Oryctolagus cuniculus: one gene and its partners. The protein of the gene in region 4 interacts with the protein of the main gene of each other region in a biochemical or structural test. Links are inferred from orthologs where the notes say so. Each region holds a gene or a part of one and is shown on either strand. Other genes may lie near its edges. The genes, in order: RELA, GRIP1, TRIM24, PPARG, KAT5, CDK5 and NR0B1.

Region 1 (3,944 bases), on a different chromosome or scaffold from region 4:
CTAAGGCAGACCCTGGCGGGCAGCCGGGGCAGCAGCCAAGACTCGGGGTCCCTGCCGCTCGGGCGGCGCCCGTCTGAGACCCCCGCCCGAGACCCCCGCCCCTGGCCTCAGCTGGCGCAGCTCCCCGGCTGCTGGCCGGCGTCTGGGCCGTGATGCAGGGGCGGGAGGCCGCTCTGCCTTTCAAGGAAATAAAACGCTGATTATTCGGAGTGGACGGCGCACGCGCAGCCCCCGCGGCCGGGAAGCGGACTGCGCCGGAGACACCGGCGGGTGGGCGGGGTGCTCGCTCTCTTTCACTTTTCTCTTCCTGTTTTTTCAGAGCCTGGGAAAGCAAGTCAGAATTTCCAATCTTTTCCAATTCCCACATGGTTTCCTAATTTAGTGCGAGTTCGGAGAAGATACACACACACACAAAGTCTCCCCCGCACCCCGCTTTGGGGAAGCCGCGCGCAGCCTCACCCCAGGAGAGGGTCTGTGCCAGCCCCAGGCCCGCCCCCCGCCCGCAGGGCCGCGGCGGGAGGCCCCGGGCACTCTCGCGGGGGGCGGGACCCTGCGGGTTCGGGCGGCCCCTGGGGGTCCCGGGCGTGGGCAGGCGAGCGCGCCAGGGTGCAGAGAGGAGGCTGCGGGGCCGATCCGGGCGCCTCCCGCACTCGTCTCCGATGGGCCGCCCGCGGGCCGGGGCTGGCGCGGCCGAGGGCCCGGCTCGCCCGCTGCGGGCAGTGGCCGGCGGGGACGTCGGGCGCGCCCCGCACCCCGCGCGCCCCCCGCGCCGAGACGCGTGCGGGGTGAAGCCGCCGGCTCTCCGCGCGCGGGGCGGGCGGCCGCCGCCCAGCCGCTCTGGCCGCGCTCCAGCCCGGCCCGGGTGACATCACCAAGCTCCTCCGACCCGCGGGAGGGGGCCCCCGAAATCCCCTAAAAACAAAGTGAGTAATCGGCAGGCCCGCCCTCCAGGCGGGGCTGGGACGCGGGGGCGAGCGGAGCCGCCCCGGGAGCCGCCTCCGGGCGGGCGGGCGGGTGAGCGTCGGTGTCCGGAGCGGCCGGCGTCTGCCCCCGGCCCCCGCGGGCTCGCCCCGGCGCGGCGCGCACCTGCCCGGACCCCCGCGCGGGGCGGCGGCGGCGGCGGCGGCACAGGCACAGCGCGCAGGCGCGGCCGGGTTCCGGGCAGTGACGCGGCGACGGGCGCGCGCGGCGCATTTCCGCCTCTGGCGAATGGCTCCCCTGTAGCGCGCGCCGCGGGCCCAGCTGCGACCCCGGCCCCGCCCCCGGGACCCCGGCCATGGACGGTGAGGGCGCCCCGGGAGCCGGCGGGGAGGCCGCGCCGGGGCCGCGGGGGCTGTGGCGGGACCCCCGGGCCGCCTTCCGCCGCTTCCTGCGCCGCGGGCGCTGCTGCGCCAGGGAGCGGTCCGGCCGGCCGGTGGCGCGGGGCGGGGCGGGCGGCGGGGGTCTGACTCAGTTTCCCCTCCGCGTGGAGGGGGCCTTGACCGGGGGCCCTCCCGGGGTGGGGGTGCGGGGTGAGCTTTGAGGCGAGTCCGTCGCATGGCCTCTGGGGCAGCCCTGATGGAGTTGTTATGGGAGAGGGTGTGAGTCAGTTTCCTCTCGGGTGGGGGCTGGGGGGTGGGGGGCGCCCTCCCACAGCTCCTCCGAGGACAGTGGGCCGGGCCCTGACTCGGGTTCCCTCAGCACAGCCGGGGGTCCAGACCCCGTTTGCCCTTAGGAAACAGGTGTTTCTGGCTCCTGTACCCCCCACGGAGCAGGTCCTGACTCAGTTTCCCTGGGGCGGGGGGTGGAGGGGACCTGGGCTTGTGCTGACCCTTACCTCCTCCCCTTTCAGACCTGTTCCCCCTCATCTTCCCCTCGGGTAAGTGGGCCGGCCCTGCTCGGTGGCGGGGAGGGGCTCCGGGGGCTGGGGGGCTGGGGGCAGCCCCTGATGGGACCCCCGGCCCCCGCAGAGCCAGCCCAGGCCTCGGGCCCCTTCGTGGAGATCATCGAGCAGCCCAAGCAGCGGGGCATGCGCTTCCGCTACAAGTGCGAGGGCCGCTCGGCGGGCAGCATCCCCGGCGAGCGGAGCACGGACACCACCAAGACCCACCCCACCATCAAGGTCAGTCCTGCTCCCCCTGTGGCGGGCCGGGCGCGGGGGAGGGGCCGCCGAGCCGGCCCTGCCCCCAGCACGCGCTGTACTTTGCACAGATCAATGGCTACACGGGACCCGGGACGGTGCGCATCTCCCTGGTCACCAAGGACCCCCCTCACCGGCCTCACCCGCACGAGCTGGTCGGCAAAGACTGCCGGGACGGCTTCTACGAGGCCGAGCTCTGCCCGGACCGCTGCATCCACAGGTGAGCGCCCGGGGCCGCGCTGGGCGGACTGCTCTCTCCTGCGCTCCTCCTTTCTGGGAGTGGGACTCCTGGGGGACGGGCTGGGGCCCTGACCCTGTGGCTGCCAGCGAACCTGCGGTTCCCCCGAGCGCGCACCCGCGGACAGGCTGTAGGTCGTGCAGATAAACGGTGCACGTGGTGTCAGCCGTGACTTCCAGGCTGGGAGAGAGCCCGGCCGAGGGAGGGGTGCTGGTCTCGTGGCCTGGGGGCGGGAGGCCCGGGGTGGCCTCTGTCAGCTAGGCCTTGAATGGTGAGGCTGATCGGAGAAGCCCGGAAGCATCCCGGGGCGAAGGGAGAGGTGCCGAGGTCAGGGCCTGAGGGCGGGAGGCCGTCGACAGGAGCGGTGGTGTTGCAGCGCAGGGGAGCCGCTGCAGCCGCTGCAGCCAGGACCGGGGCGGATGGGGAGGTGCAGACGGGGCACCGCGGGAGGGTCCGCGCTCTGACGGGGAGGGGCTCAGCTTCCAGAACCTGGGGATCCAGTGTGTGAAGAAGCGCGACCTGGAGCAGGCCATCAGTCAGCGCATCCAGACGAACAACAACCCCTTCCAAGGTGAGGCCCCCCAGCTGCCCGCCCCGCCCCCGCCCCCGCCCCCAGCTGCCCGCCCCGCCCCCAGCCTCCGCCCCCGCCCCCAGCCTCCGCCCCAGCCCCAGGCCTCCGCCCCCGCCCCCAGCCCCCGTCCCCCCCAGCTGCCGCCCCGCCCCCCCAGCCTCCGCCCCCACCCGGCCCCCACCCCAGGCCTCCTGGCCAAGACGCCGCAGCCGGACACCACGTCCCGGCAGGGGACAGGACTGCGGGGTCCCAGTGCAGGCCTTTGTCCGGCGCTGTGGCACCCTTCGCCAGCCCCCAGGCCAGAGCGGCCGGCCCTCCCCGCCCCGTGTGACACCTGCCCGTCCGCCCGTCCGTTGTGACAGTGCCCATAGAAGAGCAGCGTGGGGACTACGACCTGAACGCCGTGAGGCTCTGCTTCCAGGTGACAGTGCGGGACCCAGCAGGCAGGCCCCTACGCCTGCAGCCTGTCCTCTCCCATCCCATCTTTGACAACCGTGAGTGGCTCGGGGGTCACGGGCAGGGGCCGGGGTGGGCCTGGGCGGCAGGAAGGCTGGTGGGCTGGGCTGCGGCGAGCTTCTGCCCGTCGTCCGGCATCCGTGTGTCATCTCCCGTGCCCAGCCCTGCTGGCTGCAGACAGGCAGGGACAGACCCAGAGCCGTCCTTGCTCTAGAGGGTGTGGCTTCGGGGCTGGCGGGGGTCTGATAGGAAGTGGGCGTTTTCCGGATCACGTGGCGAGAGAGTGGCATGCCCCCACCTACACCACGGACTGTGGGAAGTGGACATTACGAGAGCGAGGTGTCCTGGGCGGTGACGATTCCCTGATGACAGCCCGGGAAGCTTGCAGAGGGACTGGGCGGCATCATCAGTTGCAGTTTTTAATTAAATAATGAGCAGGATGAATAAAAATAGAGCAGCGCGGGAACCCTGGGGGCAGGAAGCAGGGTCAGGAGGGACGGGCGCGTGGCCAAGGTGGGTACGATGGGGCCCGGGAGACTGCCCGGGTCAGCGTGGCTCGC
Region 2 (4,066 bases), on a different chromosome or scaffold from region 4:
ATTTACATTTCCCTGATTGCTAGTGATCTTGAACATTTTTTCAAGTGTCTGTTGGCCATTTGGATTTCCTCTTTTGAAAAATGTCTATTGAGGTCCTTGGCCCATCTCTTAAGTGGGTTGTTTTGATGTTGTGGAGTTTCTTGATTTCTTTATAGATTCTGGTTATCAACCCTTTATCTGTTGCATAGTTTGTAACATAATATGTTTATAATGAAAAAATTGGGAACTCTATTTACCTTTATGAGTAATTGTCAAGAATACCACTGATTGTGGAGTTAATAGCTCCAGAGGATATGGGGAAAAAGCAACTGCCTTTATCTGGCCTCTTGTTTGTGGATTCAAGAAAAATCAAAAATCAAAAACTCTAGTTTTAATGATCTGTGATTATTTTACTGTGTATGGGTGAAATGGTCATTTTTTCATTCAATTATTGCTTACAGCCATCATCTATATTCCCACTCACCTAGGGCCTTTTTGCTTTGTACTTATTAAACTTCTTATTTGGTGAAGTATTAATCTTTTTAACTGTAATGTAATTTTAAAATATGCTATCTCAAAAACTTTTTAAAAAAGGAAGAAGGTGGGAGGGAGATATGGGAGGGAGGAAGAAAGGGAATAATATTATGTTTTGGAATTGTATCTACAAAGCACATTGAATTTGTTAAATAAACATAAAAAACATACAAAATGAAAAACTCTACTATCAAACCTCAACAAAATAAAAAAACAACAAAATCCTTGTCATTGTAATACTGACAGTATTACAATGCTGCCTGTCCTTCAGTTGCATAGACATCATGGGCACTTAAACCACACTTTCATGCTCAGTCCCTGTATCATGCCTCCCCACTTGTCAAATAGTGTTCAACAGTCAAACCAGACGAGTTAGCATAAAGAAGCATGATTTTTCTCTTGTGTACAACTATGTTACTTTGTGAGTCCTCATTTAGCTCTATGTTTTTTTTTTCATTTAATAAACAGGAAGCTGTTACACCTCTTCTTACTCTGCATATATCAAGTATGGCATACAGTAATATGCTAAGTTGTTATTATAGTCTGACATCAATCAGTAAATATCACTGTACATTTGTAGTTTCCTAATATTCTCTTATGGACACTAACATATGGTCTTAAAACTATGTCTAACAAAAGAGTAGGCATTTTTATTGTTGGTGTTAGTATTTCTGATTCATCCAGTTTTGGTTTCATGATAAACTTGTTTCAGCTTTTACAAATGATATTCTTAAAATGAGAAATACTAAAATATTGGTGTGGCCCAATTTTATTTTTCTGTCACCTACATAATATGTAATTTTAAAATTATGGAACTCATAAATTCAATATCCTCATCTTATTGACAAGAAAACCAAAGCCCAGAGAGACTCTTCTTATACCCTGTCATTAGCAAAGTCGGATCCAGACCATGTCAGTCACCAGATCTCTATCACATTGTTATTTAATTGTGCTCCAAAGAACCCAAGAACCCTACGTCTGCAACAATTTACAGAATGTTTTCACATTCATCTAGTTCCAACAATGACCATGTGAAGTGATCATCATTATTATTTTACAAAGGGGTATCTTTGGCTTGCAGAATTTACATGACTTTTTTTTAACATTTTCAAACCCAGAAACCAGAGCTTTAGACTCCAAATCTGGAGTTTGCCTCTCTGAAATTACTGCAGCAACTTGTATTTTAAAATTAATTCTGTAATTTCTCTGTTCAAAAGAATCCATTGCTGAAAAAATTTTAGAAACATAAGATTTTATAACAACCTTATAAAGAGATTCATGAACTACTAGACAACTATTTTCTAAGAAAACATATCTTTTAGGACATATACCTCTTAAGACAACAGCTTTCTATACATAATTAAACATTGAACTCAGAATGATGAAAGCTTACCACTGTTTGACTTAGCAAGAAATTCAAGAGGGCTCTGATCCTGGTTAACCTTTGTATCATTAATATCAGAAGGTTCACAGCTTAAGTGAAAATCATCAATGTAAGCAGCTAGGGCTTCGGAGGCAGAGAAAAATGACTTTCCTTTATATTGGATGGAACCATCAGTATTAAAGGAGATGCTGTTCAGGATTAAAGTTGCTGGAAGATAAGGTTCAGAAGAGCTAAACTGGTGTTTCTTAACTGACTTTGCCATGGCTTTCTCAAAATGGGCAGCAATGTCCTTGCATCTTTCAAAAAACTCTAAACACAAAGAAAGGTATACAAGATTTCAGTTAAATAGAACTAGAGGACAATACTCTTGGCATCCTTGCTAGTCTTTCATCACATATAGCTACTTTTTATAAGTGAAACTACTCTATCCCCCTTAATGCTTTATGTATACTGGGCATTCAACAATGTTGATTGACAGTAAGTTTCATGGACATGGCTGCACGTATAAACTGTATTAGAGAACTCAGTATATGAGCCTTACTAGGTGGAAAATAAAAGAGATGTTGCTTATGTTTATTTTTGGTTTTATGCAATTGAATGAGTAGTTCTGGAATCTTGGGGTATTTTTATTTGCTACATTAAAACAAAGCAAGCCTTCAGAATCATTTTCATTTTCATTTTTGCACCTGTCTCCTTCCCACTGGTCAGACAGAGAAAATCATAAATGAAAACAAGAGGAGAACAATAATTGGCCCTGGCACAAGAGTGATGGCAAATAGAAACCAGGGAACAGGAAATTAATGCTGACAAGGAGGAGGGGTCCTCTGATCTTCCTACATTCTGGCTTTGCCCTAAGAGTTTAATAAAGGAGATCTTTTCATTACCACCTTACATCAATTACTGAGTCTTCCCCCAGATTATAAAAGGTTGTTACTAGGCTGGCGCCGCGGCTCACTAGGCTAATCCTCCGCCTAGCGGCGCCGGCACACCAGGTTCTAGTCCCGGTCGGGGCGCCGGATTCTGTCCCAGTTGCCCCTCTTCCAGGCCAGCCCTCTGCTGTGGCCAGGGAGTGCAGTGGAGGATGGCCCAGGTGCTTGGGCCCTGCACCCCATGGGAGACCAGGAGAAGCACCTGGCTCCTGGCTCCTGCCATCAGATCAGCGCGGTGCGCTGGCCTCAGCGCGCCGACTGCGGCGGCCATTGGAGGGTGAACCAACGGCAAAGGAAGACCTTTCTCTCTGTCTCTCTCTCTCACTGTCCACTCTGCCTGTCAAAAAAATTAAAAAAAAAAAAAAAAAAAAAAAAAAAAAAAAAAAAGGTTGTTACTATTAGCACCCTCAATTTCCAGATGAGAAAATAATGATACATGAAGATTAAGTAACTTGTCCAAAGTAGTAGAGTAGTTAAGCAGCAGCCATCGTTGAACCTCAAGAGGTTCTCAAGCTTGAACTTAAACTATCCATTGGTCCAAACTGACCACTGTCTTGTGTGCTGGAACAGCCCATATCATCTGTTCCCTAACTGCTTACCACAGTTAACATGCCAGCAATGAAGTTGGGTGCCCAAGTTCTCTAGTCTTTACCTTCTCTAAAATGCCTTAAGTTTCTATTGCTATTTGTGTGTGGAGGGGGTGCCAGTCATTTGATAACAATATTTACATAACTGTAAAGAGTAAGTACTCACTTTTTCAGTTCTTTGATATTCGAGTGGATACACTGTGTTTTCAGAATGTTATATTATGTGACCTCATAATACCTATATTTTCCATCCATGGGATATTTCTTGGTCTTTCCAATGTAATGGAGTTACACAGAAACCTTTGAGAATCAGGAGAAAATCAGGATTCATCTTCCCACAAAAATGCAATTTGGCTGGTAGATACAATGAATTCTAGGACTCCTGAGACTCATACATGTCCACCTTTGTATGAACCTTTGATGAAGAACTTTTGTCTAAAGGATGTGATAGAGGAGGGAATAAAGAGAAAAAAGGCCAACTAGGAAAAGAAGGATAAAAAGATATTAATTAGATTGAGACGAGCTAAACTGACATCATATGTTCTTGCAGCTACGATGATAAATACCTTCTTAGTAATTCAGGATCACAATCATCTTTCTTCCCTCTCTGTATCTAACAGTATGAATTGGTTACTATCACAGATGAAAGACAG
Region 3 (3,500 bases), on a different chromosome or scaffold from region 4:
CCATAACAACCAGAAATTGAAAGAATGTGTCACCACTAGTCCAGCCTCAATAAAGACGCCTAAGGATGTGCTACCCACAGAAAAATGATCATCACTATGAAAGAAAGTGAAGGCAGCAAATCTGCAAGTACAAAGGAAATCAAAACTGAAAAATAGGAATATTTTTTGAAAAACTGGCAGGGTAAAGTCATTAGTTATCAATAGTCACCTTGAATGGCTTCAAATCTCCAGTTAAAAAAGATACCGACTGGCTGAATGGATTAAAAAACAAAAACCCTCTATTTGCTGCCTACAAGAAACACAGATCACCAACAAAGATAGTCACAGACTGTAAATGAAAGGATGGAAAAGATATTCCATAGTAACAGAAACCAAAAAAGAGCTGATGTAGCCATCATAAATATAAGACAAAATAGTTTAACACAAATACTGTTACAAGAAACAAAGAAGGGCACTATATTACGATTAAGGGGTCAATTCAACAGGAAGATGTCACTATTAGAAATGTATACGCACCTAATTACAGAGCACCTGGGTATTTAAAACAAATGTTAATGGAATGAAAGGAGACACAGACTCCCGTACAGCAGTAATCGGGACTTCACTACTCCACCTTCAGCCATGGACAGATCAACCAGACAGAAAGTCAGCAAGGAAACAGAGTTCATCGACACCATAGACCAAATGGACCTCACAGACACCCACAGGACGTTCCATCCTACAGCTGCAGAATCCACCTTCTCAGCAGTGCACGGAACTTTCTCTAGGACTGACCACATGCCAGGCCAAGAAGCAAGTCTCAGCAAATTCAAAAAAACTGAAATCCTACCATGCACCTTCTCTGACCACAATGAAATGTAGCGCAAATTAGACAACTCAGGAATCTCTAGAGCAAATGCAAACACATGGAGACTGAACAACATGCTCCTGAACGAACACTGGGTCATAGAAGAAATCAAAAGAGAAGTCAGAAAATTTCTGGAAACAAATGAAGACGACAACACAACATATCAAAACATATGGGATACAGCAGAAGCAGTGTTAAGAGTAAAGTTTATAACAGTTGATGCCTACATCAAGATATTGGAAAGGCACCAAATAAATGAGTTATCAATGTACCTCATAGACCAACAAAAACAGCAAAGCAATCAAAACAAAACAAAAAAAGACCTACAAAAGATCAGCAAAACGAAGAGCTGGTTTTCTGAAAAAATAAACCAAACTGACGACACCTTTGGCCCAACTAAGTGAAAAAAGTGAAGACCCAAATCAATAAAATTAGAGATGACAAATTTAACAACAGACACCACAGAAATAAAAAGAATCATCAGGAATTACTAGAAAGAGCTATATGCCAGAAAATGAGGAAACCTAGAAGAAATGGATAGGTTCCAGGGCTGGCGCCATGGCACAACAAGTTAGCCCTCCCCCTCTGGCATCAGCATCCCATATAGATACCGGTTCTAGTCCCGGCTGCTCCTCTTCTGATCCAGCTCTCTGCTATGGCCTGGGAAAGCAGTAGATGATGGCCCCAAGTACCTAGGCCTCTGCACTTGTGTGGGAGATCCAGAAGAAACTCCTGGCTTCAGATTAGCACAGCTCCAGCTGTTGTAGCCACTTGAGGAACCAGTGGATGGAAGACCTTTCTCTCTGTTTCTCCCTTTCACTATAAATCTACCTCTCAAATAAATGAATAAAATGGAAAAAAATTTTTTTGCCTTAAAAAAAAATCATCAGAAACTACTAAAAACAGTTGTATGTCAACAAATGGGGAAAACTAGAAGAAATGGATAGATTCCAGGAAACATGCAACATATCTAAATTGAGCCATGAAAATATAGAAAACCTAAACAAACCTAGAACCAAGACTTAAAATGAATCAGTAATAAAGACCCTCCCAACATAGAAAAGCCCAGGACTGGACGGTTTCATTGCTGAATTCTACCAAATATTTAAAGAACTAACTCCAATTCTTCTCAAGATATTCAAAACAACTGAAAGGAAGAGAATCCTCCTGAACACCTTCTACAAAACCAGCATCACCTAGGCCTGAAAATGACACAGCAGAGGAGAACTATAGACCGATTTTCCTGATGAACACAGACACAAAAATCCTCAACAGAATTCTAGCCAATCAAATCCAACAACAGGTCTGAAAGATCATTCACTAGGACCAAGTGGGATTTATCCCTGGTATACAGGAATGGTTCAACATTTGCAAATCAATGTAATACATCACATTAACAAATTTAAGAACAAAAACCATATGTTTATCTCAATAGATGCAGAAAAAAAGCACCTTTTCATGATAAAAACTTTAATCAAATCAAGTATAGAAGGAATATTCCTCATCACAATCATGGCAATTTATAACAACCCCATGGCCAGTGTACTATTGAATGGGGGAAAGTTGGAAGCATTCCCATAGATCTGGAACCAGACAAGGATGCCCACTCTCACCACTGCTATTCAATACAGTCCTGAAAGTTTTAGTCAAAGCCACTGGGCAAGAAAAAGAAACCAAAGGGGTACAAACTGGGGAAGAGGAAGTCAAACTATCCCTATTTGCAGATGACATGATTCTATATAGAGGGATCCAAAAGACTCCATCAAGAGACTTGGAACTCATAAGAGTTTGGTAAAGTAGCAGGACATAAAATCAATGCACAAAAATCAACAGCTTTTGTATATACAGACAATGCCACGGCTGAGAAAGAACTTCTTAGACCAATCCCATTCACAATAGCTACCAAAAAAAAAAAAAAAAAAAAAAAAATCAAATTCCTTAGGATAAATTTAACTGAGGTTGAATAATAGCTTACCTTGGGAAATTTGTCAGAGTGGGCACATGACAAGAGAGATGGAATACTTTGGGACACTTGTCACAGCATAAGAGTTCCCCTCCGTTCTGACAAACCGCGCACCAGTCCTCATTGGGATCATCTTCCTTCCTGGTCTCTCCAACATGAAGAGGGGACTTCTGGGATGCATCCAGCCAATCAGACTTCTCATTTGAGGAACTTTCCTGCTGAAGTCCAGGCTGATCTCCTGTGCTGTCAGGGGCTTCGGATCTCGGCACAGTCTCCTCGGAAGCAGAGCTCTGACCGCTGTGTAAGAGCAGGGAAGTGAGTATGCTTCTTGGATAGCTGGTCTGCAATAGGAAGAGGGAACAGTATGTGCATATGGATCTTTAATTGGTTTTTTTTTTTTTTTTTTTTTTTTGACAGGCAGAGTGGACAGTGAGAGAGAGAGACAGAGAGAAAGGTCTTCCTTTGCCGTTGGTTTACCCTCCAATGGCCGCCGCGGCCGGCGCGCTGCGGCCAGCGCACTGCGCTGATCCGAAGGCAGGAGCCAGGAGCCAGGTGCTTCTCCTGGTCTCCCATGGGGTGCAGGGCCCAAGTACCTGGGCCATCCTCCACTGCACTCCCTGGCCACAGCAGAGGGCTGGCCTGGAAGAGGGGCAACCGGGACAGAATCCGGCGCCCCAACCGGGACTAGAA
Region 4 (3,500 bases):
CTGCACTCCCGGGTCACAGCAGAGAGCTGGCCTAGAAGGGAGGCAACTGGGACAGAATCCGGCGCCCCGACCGGGACTAGAACCCGGTGTGCCGGCGCTGCAAGGTGGCGGATTAGCCTAGTGAGCCGAGGCGCCAGCCCAACTAAGGAATTTTTGAAAGGACTAATGAGTCACCAATTTTCAAACAATCTAGCTTGTCAGAAATGAAGTCAGGAACAGTAATGCTATTCTTTTCTACGATGTTGCTGAGGTTCACAGAGCCCAGAGTTATAACGACTGTGTCTTCTCTAGACCTTCCCCACGTAGAAAATAAGCATCTTGGAACGGCTGATTTCAGGGCTGCTCTTGGCTTCTGTGCTGGGAATAGAAACTGCCACAAACCTTATGCAGCTGGGCGATGAGATGACAAAGGGCGTAAGCCGGAGCATCGGGGCCCACATGGCAGGAGTCCACCTGGGCTGGACTCCTGACTCTGGCTCCTGACTGCAGCTTCCTGCTACTGTGCACCCCGGAGAGCAGCTGTGGTGGCACCAGTGGCTGGGTTCCTGCCACCCTCAGGAGAGACCAGACTGAGTTCCTGCCTGGGATTCAGCCTGGCTGCTGGGGCCTTTGGGGGATGAACCAGCAGGTGGGAGCACTCTCTCTTGTTCGGTCTCTTTCTCTCTGTATGTCTGTTTCCCTCTCTGTCTCTCAAATAAGTAAATAATTTTTAAAATAGGATAAAGATTGAGAAAGTAATGTTCATAGCCAGCAACCTTTGGTAACTTAGAAAGAGAAAATGATCTGAAGTGTGAATAGAAATTTACACATAAGAAGGTTCACTACAGCAAAATTTAGAACAAATTTTCAACAGCATTCTGTATTCTTCCCTGTAGTTTTTATTCTAAGTAACCCTAACATGTATAGGGAGATAATTTAGTCTGTAGTGGTCCCTTTGTAGGCTGGAATATTTTACAGTCATTAAGAATGGTATTTTAGAAAACATTATGTGTCTATATTTACACAACTGTACACAGGTAATATATAGAAACATTTTTAGAGGAGAACTAGGACTTTGTTCCATTTTATTCAGAGGACAGAGACCTTTGCTTTTTTGTATTCTCTGAATCAAATTTGATATTTATCTCTCAATGAACTTCAACTGAACCTCAACTCCCAATGAATTAATCAAAGATCCCAAAGGGTCAAGAGTTAATTTGCTTATGAAGTGATTCACTCAAGACATTAAAACATGATGGAAGGGATATTTTTGCCTTATTAATCATAATGTCAAAATGTCCCTTCACTTAGTAAGTCATGACTTGAAACTGGACTTGAGGCTTCAGATTTAATGTCTGTCAAACGGTTGCCTATCTGTACCCTAGACATTCAAAGGGTGGTATTGTGCACAGTGTTTAGTTAAGCACAGAGAACCAGGCAGATCATAAGCCTGGCTCCACATCTGGCTCACTGTGCAACCCTGGGCAAGGGAGTGAACATTTCAGTGCTTTGGTTTCCTGCCTGGGTTGTTTCGGGGATAAGCGAATGTGTGTGAAGCGCTCCGAACACGGCCTGCCCTACAGCAAGAACTCCATCAGCACATGCGGTTATTACTGCGAGTACAGTATGTCCCTGATTTCAGAAGCATCCAGTTCTCAACTGGACAACAAAGGACTACAGAGAGGATTATCCCTTTATGATACATAGCACAGTGACACACACTGACATCTATAAGACCACAGAGAACATGGCAGAGTACGCAGGAAAACCTTAGCTGGACCTGCTTGTTTAAAAACAGTTTTTAAGTAGAGAGATGAAAGTAAAATTTCTTCTATTCAACTTGAAAACATGGGAGGCTAATGAAAATAACACTTAGTTTGAAGGCTGGCTTCGAGGACTGGCTGATTAGATCATGTATTGGCAAGGCCAAGACTATACCACCATGGCTAAATAACTCAACTTTTCTCTGCTCTGTGTTTTTTGGTCCAGATTGTATTCTTAACCTCAGCCAACTACGTAACAAAGGTACTTTGAGGGAAGCCTGCGGAGGAATCCACATGAGCATACAGGACCATAGACAGACATACTGGTGAATTCCTTGATTCCTGGTATCAGGAAAGTGACTCAAAGTAACATAACTGGGGCAGGAGCATAATTGGGTTAAAAATATAGCGAGACCGGTGTTCATGCTTATGACGCCAGTGTCCCACATCAGAGTGCTTGTTCAAGTTCCCGCTGCTCCGCTTCGCATTCTCTACTGCTAATATCCCTGGGAAACAGCAGGAGATGCCCAGGGGTGTGGCCTCTCCCACCCACATGGAGTTTCTGGTTCCCGGCTTCGGCCTGGCCTACACCTGGCTGTTGCAACCATGTGGGGAGTGAACCAGCAGAGGTCTTCCATCCTCCCCTCTCTATCGCTCTGCCTATCACATAAATAAATAAATAAACCTTAAAAAGCAAATAAACCTTTATCAATACCTGTCTATGCCAAGTGAGCACCATCATTAGGTAAAGTCACACATGTCATTACTCAAATGAACTGAAGATCGCACTGGCCTTCTGGGAGGGAAGGTAAGAAAAAAGAAGAAAGAAAAAGGAGAAGTGGGCATTCGTCTTCTATGATTGGGTCTGACCAGAAAAAATACCGTGAGGGATAAAAAGACAGCCCAAGTTCTCCTAAAAGAACTAGCTCTTTTTATATGAGAAATGCTGTTAAGAACAGGGTAAAAAGGAACATGGACTATCACAGGAAATACAGCACTTCTAGTCGTCCCACACTCTTTCACGGAAAATTAAAAGATGGATCTTACCTCCACTGAGAATGATGACGGCTATGAATATTGCCAAGTCACTGTCATCTAACTCCAGTGCATTGAACTTCACAGCAAATTCAAACTTGGGCTCCATAAAGTCACCAAAGGGCTTTCGCAGACTCTTTAGGAACTCCCTCGTCATGAAGCCTTGTCCCTCCGATATGAGGACCCCGTCTTTATTCATCAAGGAGGCCAGCATGGTGTAGATGATCTCATGGACGCCGTACTTGAGCAGAGTCACCTGGTCGTTCAAGTCAAGGCTCACAAAGCCAGGGATGTTTTTGGCATACTCTGTGATCTCCTGCACGGCCTCCACGGAGCGGAACTGGCAGCCCTGAAAGATGCGGATGGCGACTTCTTTGCTCTGCTCCTGCAGGGGGGTGATGTGTTTGAACTTGATTTTATCTTCTCCCATCATTAAGGAATTCATGTCATAGATCACAAACGGCTGCAAATAAAAAAGGGGAAAGGTGGCTGAGTCAGACATCCTTAACTCCCAGCGAGTGCCATCCCAGTTCAGAAAGTGGCTCTAGACACTTCTGCTTAGCTCGGCAAAATCTTTGAAGCTGAAGACCGTTAGCCATGAGGAAGGACGCTTACTGTCTTACTAGTCATCGTGATCACGTCCTAGGCCCGAGGACATTCCACCGATTTTGATCTTCTTATCCTTTAATTAATACTGCAACTTTTACCTATGACTGGCGAAAA
Region 5 (4,180 bases), on a different chromosome or scaffold from region 4:
GCACGGCGGGTTAAGCCGTCTCCTGCAACACCCGGCTGCTCTGCTTCCACCCCAGCTCCCTGCTGTGGCCCGGGAAAGCAGCGCAAGATGGTTCAAGCGCTCGGGCCCCTGCACCCGTGCGGGGACCCGGATGGAGCCCCAGGCTCCTGGCCCAGCCCCGGCCTCGTGGTCATTTGGGGCGTGAACCAGCGGATGCCACGCTCTAACTTTGCTTTTCAAATAAACAAACCTTTCTTAACACCACGGGCTGAACAAGCTGCCGGCTGGGCAGGCCAGTGTGCCCCCGAGCAAGCAGCAGCCGCCCGCTGCCCGCGGCCACTGACCTTGTTCTTGCGCCCGTCGATCTCGAAGAAGGAGATGGTGCCCTTGCGGTAGATCTCGTTGCCAGGGGGGTGGCGTAGGTCGCACTTGGTCTGAGGAGGAGAGGAGGGTCAGGGGCGGGCGCTCCTGGACTCCGGGGGGGCGCGGGGGCGCTCCTGGACTCTGGGGGGCGGGGCGGGTGCTCCTGGACTCTGGGGGGCGCAGGGGCGGGCGCTCCTGGACTTTGGGGGGCGGGGCGGGTGCTCCTGGACTCTGGGGCGCAGGGCGGGCGCTCCTGGGCTCCGCCTACCAGGTGGCGCTGCAGGCACTTGAGGCTGCGGCCGTACTTGAGGCAGAACTCGCACAGGTAGAGGACCGGCAGCGCGGTGAGCTCCTGCGGGTACGGGGAGAAGTACCACGGCTTGAGGCGGTGCCGGCCCAGCTCGATGCACTCGATGTTCTTCATCCGAGTGACGATGTCGTCGTGGCTCCGGTCGGACACCAGGCTGCCAGTCATGCGCGGAGCCGACGGGATGCCATCGGAGCTGTCCTGGGAGTCCTGCCGGGGCCGGGGGAGACGGCACGTTACAGGAGCCACGCGCCGCCCGTCTGCGACCCCGGGGCAGCTGCTGTGACCCCACTTCTCAGAGACCAGGCCCAGCCCCCGCCCACCCGCCTCACGGCCCCTCCCCACCCAGCCCCCAGACCCACCTCGTCCGTGCCCAAGCAGTTTGACTTCCGCTTCCGCCCTGGCTGCGCTGCCACCGCCCTACGGGCTGACCCATTCTGTGAAGAGACGGCGGGAATGCGGGGGGCTGTGAGCTGAGCCGGAGACGCCGGCGGGGGCAGGGCAGGCAGGGCAGTGAGACGAGACGGCTCGGGCCTACCTGGGGGAACACGGAGGCCGGGGCCGTCTCGCTGGGCACGGGAGTCGCTGGCGACACCACCTCCACCTTCCGTTTCTGCAGAGGGAAACCGAGGCCGGTGGGTGAGAAGGTAGGGAAGGGGGACCTGAGAGGAAAGAAGGTCCCTGAAGTGCTGAGGGTACCGTGGAGCGGTGGCCGGGCTGCAGGCAGGAGCTGGAGGACAGCGGCGGGTCGGGCTCACCACCGGGAATGGCCTCCCGCTCCTTGGGCAGGTTGAAGCGGAGCGTGATCTGGACCGGGATTGGCAAGGTCTTCCCGCTGGCCTGGGCGGAGGCCGGCTGCAGAGATAGGTCCAGGGTCTTCCTCTGGGGTGGGGAGGCGCAGGGGACGAGGGGCCCCCTCGGCGTGGAGTGACTGAGCCCCGCCCGCTGCCTTCTCAAGGACTGGCCACTGGACCGGAAGCTACATCTGCAACCTGGCCCCATGCTTTGCAAGCTGGAGTCGGGGCGGGGGGTGCTGCCTCCTGCCCAGCCAGGAGCCCCCTAAGGCCGAGAGACGAGAAGAGTAGGAGGCAGGAGAGGTGGAGTGGGGCCCTACTCACCACCTCTCTCTCGGGAGATCCGGGGCGGGACCCAGGCAGTCCGTTCTTGGTCGGGGTCTTGGCCTCTTTCTTGGGGAACTGGATTTTCTTTAGGTCCAGCCGCTCGTGGGTCACCCATTCATCCAGGCGTTTGTTGACTGCAGCGGTGGGCATGGCTCAGGACGGAATGCCAGAGGCTGCCCCCGCCCCGCGCCCGCCCCGCAGCCCCACCTCAGCCAGGCCCAGGACTCACAGTCAATGTAATGGACGTAGAAGAGCTTCCGGCCACTAATGTCCTTCACGCTCAGGATCTCGGCCAGGGCTATGGGAACGGCACAGGCAGAGGCCTTAGACGGGCAGGGCCCCGAGACGCCACCCTCCTAGGACCCGAGCCCCACCCCTCGGCCGGATCCCCGCGCCCCAGCACTGCGCAGCTCGCGCCCAAGCCCCCTTCAGACACCAAGTGCAACCCACTCTCCAGGCCCCGCCCTGTCCAGGTCGGAACGGCTAGAAGCCACGCCCCTCCTTTGGAGCGCCAGCGCCCCGCCCGCACCAGCATTCTAGAAGCCCCGCCCCATTCGGCTGACTCCCTCCCGCCTCGTATTTCTTAGCCCCGCCCCCCGACGTCACTCACGCCACTCATCTTCGTTGTCCTGGTTCCGCCGCAGCACAGGTAGGCGGCAGCCCTCGATTATCTCCCCCTGGGGAGACAGCGCGGCGCCAGGGTCGGCTACTGTGGGGCCGCGGGCTCTACCCACCTCCCCTGGTTCCCTCCGCCCCGCCCCGGGCACCGGACTCACCACCTCCGCCATCTTCCCTCCCTCTACTGCCACTTCCGGCCCCTCTGGGAGACGTCACTTCCGGGATCGCGAACGCTGCAGACCCGGGCCCTCTGAGCCTGTTTAGTAAAGGACCCTTGAGGGACACCGCCGCCCGGCTGGAAGCGGGGAGCTAGCCCTTTTGGCCGGCGCGAAAATGGGGTGCTCGGAGCCTCGGGCCAGGTCTTGGGTGGAACCTCCACAACGTGCGCCGCGATTGGAGGAAAACTGAGTCCGTCACGTGACGCCCACCGGGTGCGACGCCGGTCACGTGGCTGCGGCGCGGGTCACGTGGGACTAGTGTTTGGGCTCGGACGGGCGGCCGCGTTCGGGAGTCTCCTAGTGGCGGCGGGAGGCGTCGCCCGGCGCCGGGTGCGCGTGCTGGGCGCGGGGCGGGCCTGAGGGCGGGCGGTGGGCGTGGCCAAGTTGGACAAGTGGGCGGGAGTAGCGGGACGGCTGCGGGGCCGAGTTCGAGGCGCGGGGGCGCGGGTGTCTAACCTCGTACCCCGAGTTCCTGGTTGAGAACCGGTGTGTGCGTTATTTTTGCGGCCTGTAGACGTGCGGTGAGTTCCCGCCGTGTGCCGGGCTCCACTGCCGGCCCTGGAGCGCGTGGGGGCGAGCGGACAGACCCCTCCCCTGGCGGAGCTCGCGTTCCTGGAAGTTGCGGGGAGGGGAGGGTTAATGGCCGCGGTTGCCTCTGTTTCAGGGCTAAGTGTTGGGGAACCCCGAAAACCCGAGCAGGGTGGTCAGGCGCGGGCGGTCGGGCTGGAGTAGCCGGGCAGCGCTGGCTGAAAGCTTAACTATTGGAAAGAAGGCTTGAAGGGACCCAGAGAAAGTTCCAGACGCACAGGCCGTCCCGCGGGGGCAGCCGCGCCGCGCTGCACGCGCTGGCCCGTGTCTGGTGGACAGGCAGACGGGTGTGGGCCTGGCGTGTCCCGCGGCCCGTGGGCCCCCACAGAACACCAGACGCCGGAGTGAGGGGCAGGGTTACTGTGGGGGGGGCCCTGGCGCGCAGAGCAGCGGCCTGTGGCGAACGGGTCCTCCGGGGCCGTGCGGAGGGAGGACGTGGCCGGCCAGGCCCCTCAGCGTGGGCTGGAGCTGACCCTGCGGCTGGGCCTTGGGAAGCCCGCGCTCGGCTGAGCCGGGCTGGGCTTAGGAAGACGGCGCCGTTTTACTACACCCCGCCTTGGTCTTTGTGAAGCTGCTAAGAAGGAAGAGAGAGAGGAAGAGGTCTGGAGACGAGGGAGGGCCACGTGTTCGCGAGCAGGTCCTGTTGGAACTCCGCCGGGCAGGCCGGGAAGCAGGGGCAGCGGCTCCCATGGGGACGCGCGGCGCTGACAGCGCGGCTGGGCCTTGGGGCCCCCTGGCTGCGGGGGCTGGGGCCGAGCATGGTGTCTGGACTGCGCCCTTGACCAGCACCCGTGCTGTTGATGTGTTAAAGCGGTTGGGGGGACAAAACAGTATTTCTTAACAGGAGAAGTTGTTTGAAGTTTAAATTTCATTGCCCATAAAGGATGTTTTTAAAGATTTATTTATTTGAAGGTTACAGAGGCAGAGAGAGAGTCTTCCATCCGCTGGTTCACTCCTTAATTGGCCACAATGGCCAGCGCTGGGCC
Region 6 (3,937 bases), on a different chromosome or scaffold from region 4:
CCAGCGGGCCCAGGGCTCAGGGCCCTGGGGGCAGCGAAAGGATATCGGAAGATCCTCTTCAGCTGGTCATCCACATCGTTGCCAGGGAAGAGGGGCCGGCCGGCATTGGCCAGCTCTGTGAGAGGGGCACAGCCGTGACGCACCGCGCACTCCTCACTCCGAGGCACCCCTGCACCTGCCATTCCCGGACCCGAGGGCCCTACTCCCTTCCCCGAGAGGGCACCCTCCAGACCCTGTTTGTCAACCCAGATTGGGGAGAAAGAGCAGAGCCGCCCCAGCACGTCACCTGCGAAGATGCAGCCGGCTGACCACATGTCGATGGACGTGGAGTACAGCTTGGCCCCAAAGAGGACATCCGGTGGGCGGTACCACAGCGTGACCACCTGGAGAAGACCCCACCCACAGGGACGCCCTCCCGTTTAGAGGGCTGGGACGGAGGGTGGAGAGGGGAGCTCAGAGAAGAGAGGGCACTGTCTCGGGTTGGTCATGGAGCAGGAGCTGAAAAACACCAGGGACTGCTCCCCTCAACTCCAAATCCCACCCCCCAGCTCACCTCAGCTGAGTAACAGCGGACAGGAATCCCAAAGGCTCGAGCCAAGCCGAAATCGGCCAATTTCAGTTCCCCATTCTGGGGGGAGACGGGAGGGAGGCACGGCACGGGGCTGTTAAACGTCTCAGGGCAGGCTCCTGCCCCCTGCCCTCCCCTTCTCCCCTGAGCAGTACCCTGTTTATGAGCAGGTTCTGGGGCTTTAGGTCTCTGTGCAGCACGTTGCGGCTGTGACAGAATCCCAGGCCTTTCAGCAGCTGGAAGAGGAATGACTAGAGAGGGGCAGAGGGGACAGAGTCAGACACCCTGGCTACGAGGTGATGCCAGCCATGGGCATGCTCCCTGCCTCACCCTCAGCTTTGTTCCATGTCCTACCCAATCCCCAGCACCAAGCTCAGGACAACACTATATGCACTCACTGCCGAGGGTTGGCTTTGCAGCCCGTACAGCAGGAAACAAGTGGCTCTGCTCCCTGCCCTTCCAGACCTTATAGCCCGATAGGCCTTCTGCCTTCCCAGCCCATGCCTCTCTCCCCTACCTGGCTGGACCTGAGTGTACAGTCTGTCACCATCAACATGGATATTGTGCTCTGGGATGGTTCAGGACCTGACTCCCCTGGAACCTGGGCCAAGGCACTTGGTCTCGGGCCTAGTACTCTCAGCAAATGTTTGTTGATTAAATGAGTGTAGCTCTTTGGGTGGAAATAGCCGTTGGCCTCAGAGTGTCACTATACAGGTCCAAGGAGGCCATGTGGAAATGCTGGCTAAGCCCGGAGGCCCCTGGAGGGCAGGAGCAGGTTTGCTCTTTCTCTGACACCCCCCCCCCAGAAAGTCCCTGATTTGTGCCTAAACAGGAGAGCTGACACTGCATACAGACCGGAACCCCAGCCCCGAAGAGCCCCCAGAACACCCTTCCCCTCACCTTCACAATCTCAGGATCGAGGTCACCATTGCAGCTGTCAAAATACTTCTTGAGGTCCTGTCAAGGGATGCAGCGGGGGAACAGGACAGAGGTGAACCTCCGTCTGGGCCCCACACCCTCCCAAGCCTGCTCCCTTTCAGCCCACCCCCATCCCCTTTCACCTGGTCACAGAACTCAAAAACCAAAGTCAGCTTCTTGTCACTATGCAGGACATCGTGAAGCCTACGGAGAAGCAAGGGCTGAGCCAGGCAGGTCTGCACGTCTGCACCACCCCAACCAGGCTGAAGCCCCCTCCTCCTCCACCTGCAGGGCCCCCTGCCCCCTCCACACCTGACAATGTTCTTGTGCTTCAGCTCCTTAAGCAGGCAGATCTCCCGGAGGGCTGAACTCGGCACACCCTGCACAGCGAGGGAGCAGCAGTCAGATCCCACTCACCCCAGGCCTCCTCATCTGCCACTCCCTGCCCTGGTGTCCCCGGTCCTACCTCGTCATCGTCATCCAGCCTCACGCGTTTCAGAGCCACGATTTCGTGAGTCTCTCGGTTTTTGGCCTTGAACACTGTTCCGTAAGTGCCTAAGGGGAGGAGGTCATAGATGAGGGGGAGGATGCGGCACCCTCCCCATCCCCAGGAAATGGGGAGGGGGAAGGGCACTTGAGTGTGTAAGGGAAAGGCTTCAGGGTGAGGGGCAGGCTTGCAAGAGCTTTGTAAGTGAGGACGCTGCAGGGTAGGGAAGGCCTAAAGGTTGAGGCTCCAGGGTCTGAGCCGGAGGCCAGGGTAAGGACAGCGCTAATAAGGGCGGCACTCCGGGAGGTCTGGCCATAGCAGGACTCTGGGAGAGAACTGAGGGCCTGCAGAAATGTCAAGGCTGAAGATCTGCTGGGGTCCGGGTGAGGATGTGCAAGTGGTGCTGAAGCTAGGCGTGGGAAACGCAGGACGTGCCGCGGCTGGGAGGTCGGCTCCACAGGGAGGCTAACGTTGGGAGTGGGAGTCCGCGGAGAATGCTAACACGGGCAGGGCTGGTGTCTGCACGGAGTGCTGAGCTTGGGGGCCAGGGCTGCAAGCCAGTGCTGAGGTCGGAGCCTGCAGGTACCGCAGACTACGGGAGAGCCTAGGCTGCAAGGAATCCCGAAGGGTCTGCAGAAGAAGATCTTGCAGGAACATCTCGTGGTTCTATTACCTTCCCCAATCTTCTCCAGCTTCTCGTATTTCTGCATCACGGCAGCCGCGGGGACCCCTGCGGGCCCTGGGTTCTAAGACTCCGGCCCCGGCGTTGCAGAGGAGGCGGCACCCCAGCCTCCGGCCCCGCCCCGCCTCCTGTCTGCGCATGGCCTTCTGGGGCTTGTAGTCCTAGGACGGCCAGGTTTCCCAGCGGTGTCCGGAGACTCGGGCAAGAGGACTACAGCCCCCAGCAGGCTGCGCTAAGGTCCTCTGCAGCACTCGACTCCCGGGACTCCGGTTCGACCGCGGAGGCAAACCCTGGACTCCAAGTCCCAGAAAGCATCACGCGTCCGCTCCTTGGGCGTCCCCACCGTGACGCCACGGTTCCCAGTGTGCCCCGCTCTTGTTACTCCTTTTCTGTGTGCCTTCTTGAAAAGGGTCGCTCTGGGACTACGCGTTCCAGAATGCGGCGGGGTGGGGGTAGGGCGCCCTCGGGTTGAGGTCTGGCGGCCCAGATCCGGGACCTAGTGGCTCAGCTCTGACCTGGTTGGTGATGATGAGTTCCGAGCGACCTCAGCGCGGGTTTCCACCTCGCCCCAGGCCTCCCAGTGACCTCAAGGTTGATTGGGGAATAGGAACGATGACCTCACAGGGACCAGCTGACCCCAGGGCTGGGTAGAGGCAGGTGTTTGCCATTTCTGGCTGGATTGGAAGGGTGACTTCTCCCTCTGCTGGACCTCATCTGTCGTCTCGGAGCCCATGATGAGGCGAGCCGGCTGGAGCCCTGGGAGTCCCCCCAGATCCCAGTCTTCCGAGCAGAGCCCACTGGAGGCAGTAAGGGTGTGGCCCACGAGGGCTGACAGGTTGGTTACCCCCTCTACAGACAAGACCACAGACAGATGCTACACTTACAGCAGCCTTTACCTCATCCCTTACGGCAGTTGATTATAGATTTTCCTGTGCTGCTCTCTAATTGTCTCATGATTGCATTCTTCCGGGCTGTGAACTGGACGAAAACAGCCCCAAATAGCACTCCGCAGCCAGGAACCAGAACTGGTGCTGACAATTTGTGGATTAATTCCTTTATATCAGAATGCTTTCGCATACACAATGCTGTGCTTCACCCACGTGGCAGACTAAAAAAACAAAAAAGTATATAATCCTTACCTAAACGCATTTTTAATTGAGAAAACAAGATGGCACACAAGTTCTTTAAAAGAACAGGACTCGATTCAGGGTGGGAGGTAGCAAGGACGAGGAGGGGGCCGCCGCGAGGCGTTTGTGTCCCTGAAAGTGACCGGTCCTAGGTC
Region 7 (2,694 bases), on a different chromosome or scaffold from region 4:
TGCAAGAGGTACCAGGAACCCATAGTGAAGTCACTTTACGATTTTCTGCCATGTTTGTTCAAAGTTACAGTCACATAGACAACACATCTAAAAGGTGAAAGGTAATTAGGGGTTTATAATTATATTGAGTTCTGGAACTATAACTCTTCCTTATAGAACGTAAACTTGATTTCAGTTCCATAATGGTGTATAGAAATATCCCAAAAGAAAACTAAAAATTCTCATATTTCATTTTTATGAGGCTCTCCAACCAACACTGCTTCTTGTCTCCTTTTGGGTACAAAGACAGTCTTCCATGTAACTGACAGGTGTGGAAATGAAGACAGAGCAAAGTCTTTTCCTAACAACACTGGCAGGCCATAACATCAAATGCCATGTTACTTAGAGAGGTATTTTTTGCTTATGTTGACTAGGTTTTAATAAGTTTTGAAGTCTTAGTTAAGCCCCCAATGAAACTTTTCAGTCATGTTAATGGTTAACACCTTAAAATTTATTAAAATGTAATATTACAAATTCAATTTGAGCAGGTACATTGGAGTCAGTGACTAAGCTTTTGGAAATAGCTGACTAGTGGAATACCCTGCTCTTCTCTTAAAGATGTACAGAAGTGTGTTACTTGTTGACAAACGTTTTCCTTCACAATGAAACATCATAGAACAGAGGCTTTGTTAATCATCTATAACTAAACTATTTCTTTAATTGAATACAAAAATACTATGCATGTAAAAATAATAAGAAAGTTTATTTCACAATATTTGACATTCTTCTATCCACACCTCTTACACGGTTAACTTGGCTTGTATGGGCTAAATGGCTTCATAACTTCGCACAAAGCATCTCCAGCATCATATCATCCATGCTGACTGTGCCAATGATGGGCCTGAAGAACAGTTCAGCAATGACATTGGCATTGATGAATCTCAGCAGGAAAAGAGCACTGTTCAGTTCAGCGAATCTGGCCTGGTGCCCTCGGTGCGTCATCCTGACGTGTTCAGTGAGTATCTGCTGAGTTCCCCACTGAAGTCCCTGAATGTACTTCACGCACTGCAGGCCTGGCAGGTCTGGAGGGAGAAAAATCTCCTTGTTAGAAATGGCTCATCACAAATCCTTTGCTAGATTTTTAAATCTATCCTTTCTGCCTCTTCCCAATTAAACAAAAGCTCAAGATTCCTGATTCAAGGGTTTTTGAGAGCACAGATAAAATACCAAACCAGTTGTAAGTTTCCAGAAACAACACTTCCAAGAATGAAACATTAAGGTGATTTTCCTTATTAAATATCCACAATGCTTGTATACACACATTTAAAAATGCTGGCTGTGAGCCAACAAGTGCACGCCTAATTTGACAGTCGAGTATACTTTAATGAATCATTGTGCCAGCTCACTTTTTATACAAATATGAAAAAAAATAATGCTATCTCAGGAGGAGAGCACTGGGCTTTATACCATGGAAAACAGTCCACTGTACAATAAGTTTTGCCATCTGCAAATATTTTACCATCCGTCCACAAATTTCCCACCATGATACTGATTATTCAACCAATAGTGGTAAACTCCCCGGCCACAAACTGTGACTCCTGGGTTTCACTGTATTATTTGCTGCAGATCAATATTAATCTAGAGGCCCAAAATAATTTAAAAACTAATGCTGGCTATTTAGTTCATTGTATCATGGTTTCTGTATTGGGGGGCTTATAAAAAGGGGAGGTGCTTCTAATGAGTGTTCCAAAAGGCTTTTTAAATATATATATATATATAAATAAAAGATTTTAGAAATAATTCTCCTCCAGTCTTGAGAGGGTTAAAAGTAAATACTAGAATATCACGGACCACAACACAGTTCAAACAGAACTTTTTTAATAGACAATGCATGACCTCTTTTCAGTCAAGTGGATACTTAAGTAAAGTGAATGAAAATGCAACCCTGGAAAGAAGGATATATATTAATATACTATTTTATTATATTGTATTATATATATTAATCCTTGTACAGAAGGTGGTAAGAGGAGTCTGTTTTTAAAAGCCCTATGATTCTCCATGACAGTAATATCGTTCCAAAGTTCTTTAATTTGTATTCAAGTAAGTAATAGTTTATCATTAGGATTAAATAATGCCAATTATGATTGCAATCACTTCCCTTCCCTTTTTCTACAAAGTTCAACAGAATAATATTTTATAAGTATTATGCTAATCATCACAGAGTAGCAGAACCAATCAGTGATCTCTAAAAACTAATGGTGACAGATATGAGGCACTCTTCTAACAGGCAAATATCTGATCAATAAAATAAGAGCAAAATAATGCAGCACGTCTAACCTATACCCTAATCAGATTACCCAGTCCACACATTAATGTCTCCTACTACCTACAGCTCAACATCCAGGCTTGAAACTCAATTATATTGTTTGAATCCCACTGATGAAAGGAAGAGGCTTGCATGAAACTCCACCAGAAACTCAAAGTTCCTCCAGGTCCAGAGTCATGGTTCATGAAAACTTCATCTGTGACCTCCACGTTACTTTTCTCTGCTATCACACCACACCCATCCATGCCCACACCCTCCAAAATTGCGGCTTTTTCTGCAAAAGAGTCTTACCTTTAAAGTAAAGAAATAGAAATGGCAGGTGGGCTCCACAGTTTCCTAATTCTCCTTATCTTTATGTTTAAACCCAGAGAGTTTGTAGGAATAGAATT

Evidence for each region.
Region 1: the proteins of PPARG (region 4) and RELA form a complex in vitro, tested with the Homo sapiens proteins (3 studies listed by BioGRID, with this or other methods). The link is inferred for Oryctolagus cuniculus from reciprocal best matches to the Homo sapiens genes PPARG and RELA.
Region 2: the proteins of PPARG (region 4) and GRIP1 form a complex in vitro, tested with the Homo sapiens proteins (2 studies listed by BioGRID). The link is inferred for Oryctolagus cuniculus from reciprocal best matches to the Homo sapiens genes PPARG and GRIP1.
Region 3: the proteins of PPARG (region 4) and TRIM24 interact in a test that uses a peptide from one of them, tested with the Homo sapiens proteins (2 studies listed by BioGRID). The link is inferred for Oryctolagus cuniculus from reciprocal best matches to the Homo sapiens genes PPARG and TRIM24.
Region 5: the proteins of PPARG (region 4) and KAT5 form a complex in vitro, tested with the Homo sapiens proteins (2 studies listed by BioGRID, with this or other methods). The link is inferred for Oryctolagus cuniculus from reciprocal best matches to the Homo sapiens genes PPARG and KAT5.
Region 6: of the proteins of PPARG (region 4) and CDK5, one has a biochemical effect on the other in vitro, tested with the Homo sapiens proteins (3 studies listed by BioGRID, with this or other methods). The link is inferred for Oryctolagus cuniculus from reciprocal best matches to the Homo sapiens genes PPARG and CDK5.
Region 7: the proteins of PPARG (region 4) and NR0B1 form a complex in vitro, tested with the Homo sapiens proteins (2 studies listed by BioGRID, with this or other methods). The link is inferred for Oryctolagus cuniculus from reciprocal best matches to the Homo sapiens genes PPARG and NR0B1.

The regions. Positions count from the first base shown.
Region 1 is NC_091432.1:6,038,492-6,042,435, forward strand, and holds the start of RELA (transcription factor p65), read left to right. Parts: upstream 1-1,144; 5' UTR 1,145-1,276; coding exon 1,277-1,283; intron 1,284-1,831; coding exon 1,832-1,858; intron 1,859-1,949; coding exon 1,950-2,101; intron 2,102-2,190; coding exon 2,191-2,339; intron 2,340-2,836; coding exon 2,837-2,928; intron 2,929-3,290; coding exon 3,291-3,422; intron 3,423-3,944. UniProt on the Homo sapiens protein: NF-kappa-B is a pleiotropic transcription factor present in almost all cell types and is the endpoint of a series of signal transduction events that are initiated by a vast array of stimuli related to many biological processes such as inflammation, immunity, differentiation, cell growth, tumorigenesis and apoptosis.
Region 2 is NC_091442.1:68,865,628-68,869,693, forward strand, and holds the start of GRIP1 (glutamate receptor-interacting protein 1), read right to left. Parts: upstream 2,801-4,066; 5' UTR 2,160-2,800; coding exon 1,907-2,159; intron 1-1,906. UniProt on the Homo sapiens protein: May play a role as a localized scaffold for the assembly of a multiprotein signaling complex and as mediator of the trafficking of its binding partners at specific subcellular location in neurons.
Region 3 is NC_091434.1:185,289,937-185,293,436, forward strand, and holds part of TRIM24 (transcription intermediary factor 1-alpha), read right to left. Parts: intron 3,152-3,500; coding exon 2,823-3,151; intron 1-2,822. UniProt on the Homo sapiens protein: Transcriptional coactivator that interacts with numerous nuclear receptors and coactivators and modulates the transcription of target genes.
Region 4 is NC_091441.1:114,828,119-114,831,618, forward strand, and holds part of PPARG (peroxisome proliferator-activated receptor gamma), read right to left. Parts: intron 3,241-3,500; coding exon 2,790-3,240; intron 1-2,789. UniProt on the Homo sapiens protein: Nuclear receptor that binds peroxisome proliferators such as hypolipidemic drugs and fatty acids.
Region 5 is NC_091432.1:6,003,904-6,008,083, forward strand, and holds the start of KAT5 (histone acetyltransferase KAT5), read right to left. Parts: upstream 2,801-4,180; 5' UTR 2,559-2,800; coding exon 2,547-2,558; coding exon of another isoform or gene 2,448-2,546; coding exon 2,381-2,447; intron 2,069-2,380; coding exon 2,000-2,068; intron 1,905-1,999; coding exon 1,768-1,904; intron 1,505-1,767; coding exon 1,349-1,504; intron 1,263-1,348; coding exon 1,188-1,262; intron 1,087-1,187; coding exon 1,012-1,086; intron 860-1,011; coding exon 611-859; intron 414-610; coding exon 324-413; intron 1-323. UniProt on the Homo sapiens protein: Catalytic subunit of the NuA4 histone acetyltransferase complex, a multiprotein complex involved in transcriptional activation of select genes principally by acetylation of nucleosomal histones H2A and H4.
Region 6 is NC_091438.1:22,759,315-22,763,251, reverse strand, and holds the start of CDK5 (cyclin-dependent kinase 5), read right to left. Parts: upstream 2,801-3,937; 5' UTR 2,684-2,800; coding exon 2,647-2,683; intron 2,042-2,646; coding exon 1,953-2,041; intron 1,867-1,952; coding exon 1,799-1,866; intron 1,691-1,798; coding exon 1,630-1,690; intron 1,526-1,629; coding exon 1,469-1,525; intron 820-1,468; coding exon 724-819; intron 629-723; coding exon 554-628; intron 384-553; coding exon 287-383; intron 116-286; coding exon 46-115; intron 1-45. UniProt on the Homo sapiens protein: Proline-directed serine/threonine-protein kinase essential for neuronal cell cycle arrest and differentiation and may be involved in apoptotic cell death in neuronal diseases by triggering abortive cell cycle re-entry. Interacts with D1 and D3-type G1 cyclins.
Region 7 is NC_091453.1:16,770,244-16,772,937, forward strand, and holds the end of NR0B1 (nuclear receptor subfamily 0 group B member 1), read right to left. Parts: intron 1,062-2,694; coding exon 817-1,061; 3' UTR 501-816; downstream 1-500. UniProt on the Homo sapiens protein: Nuclear receptor that lacks a DNA-binding domain and acts as a corepressor that inhibits the transcriptional activity of other nuclear receptors through heterodimeric interactions.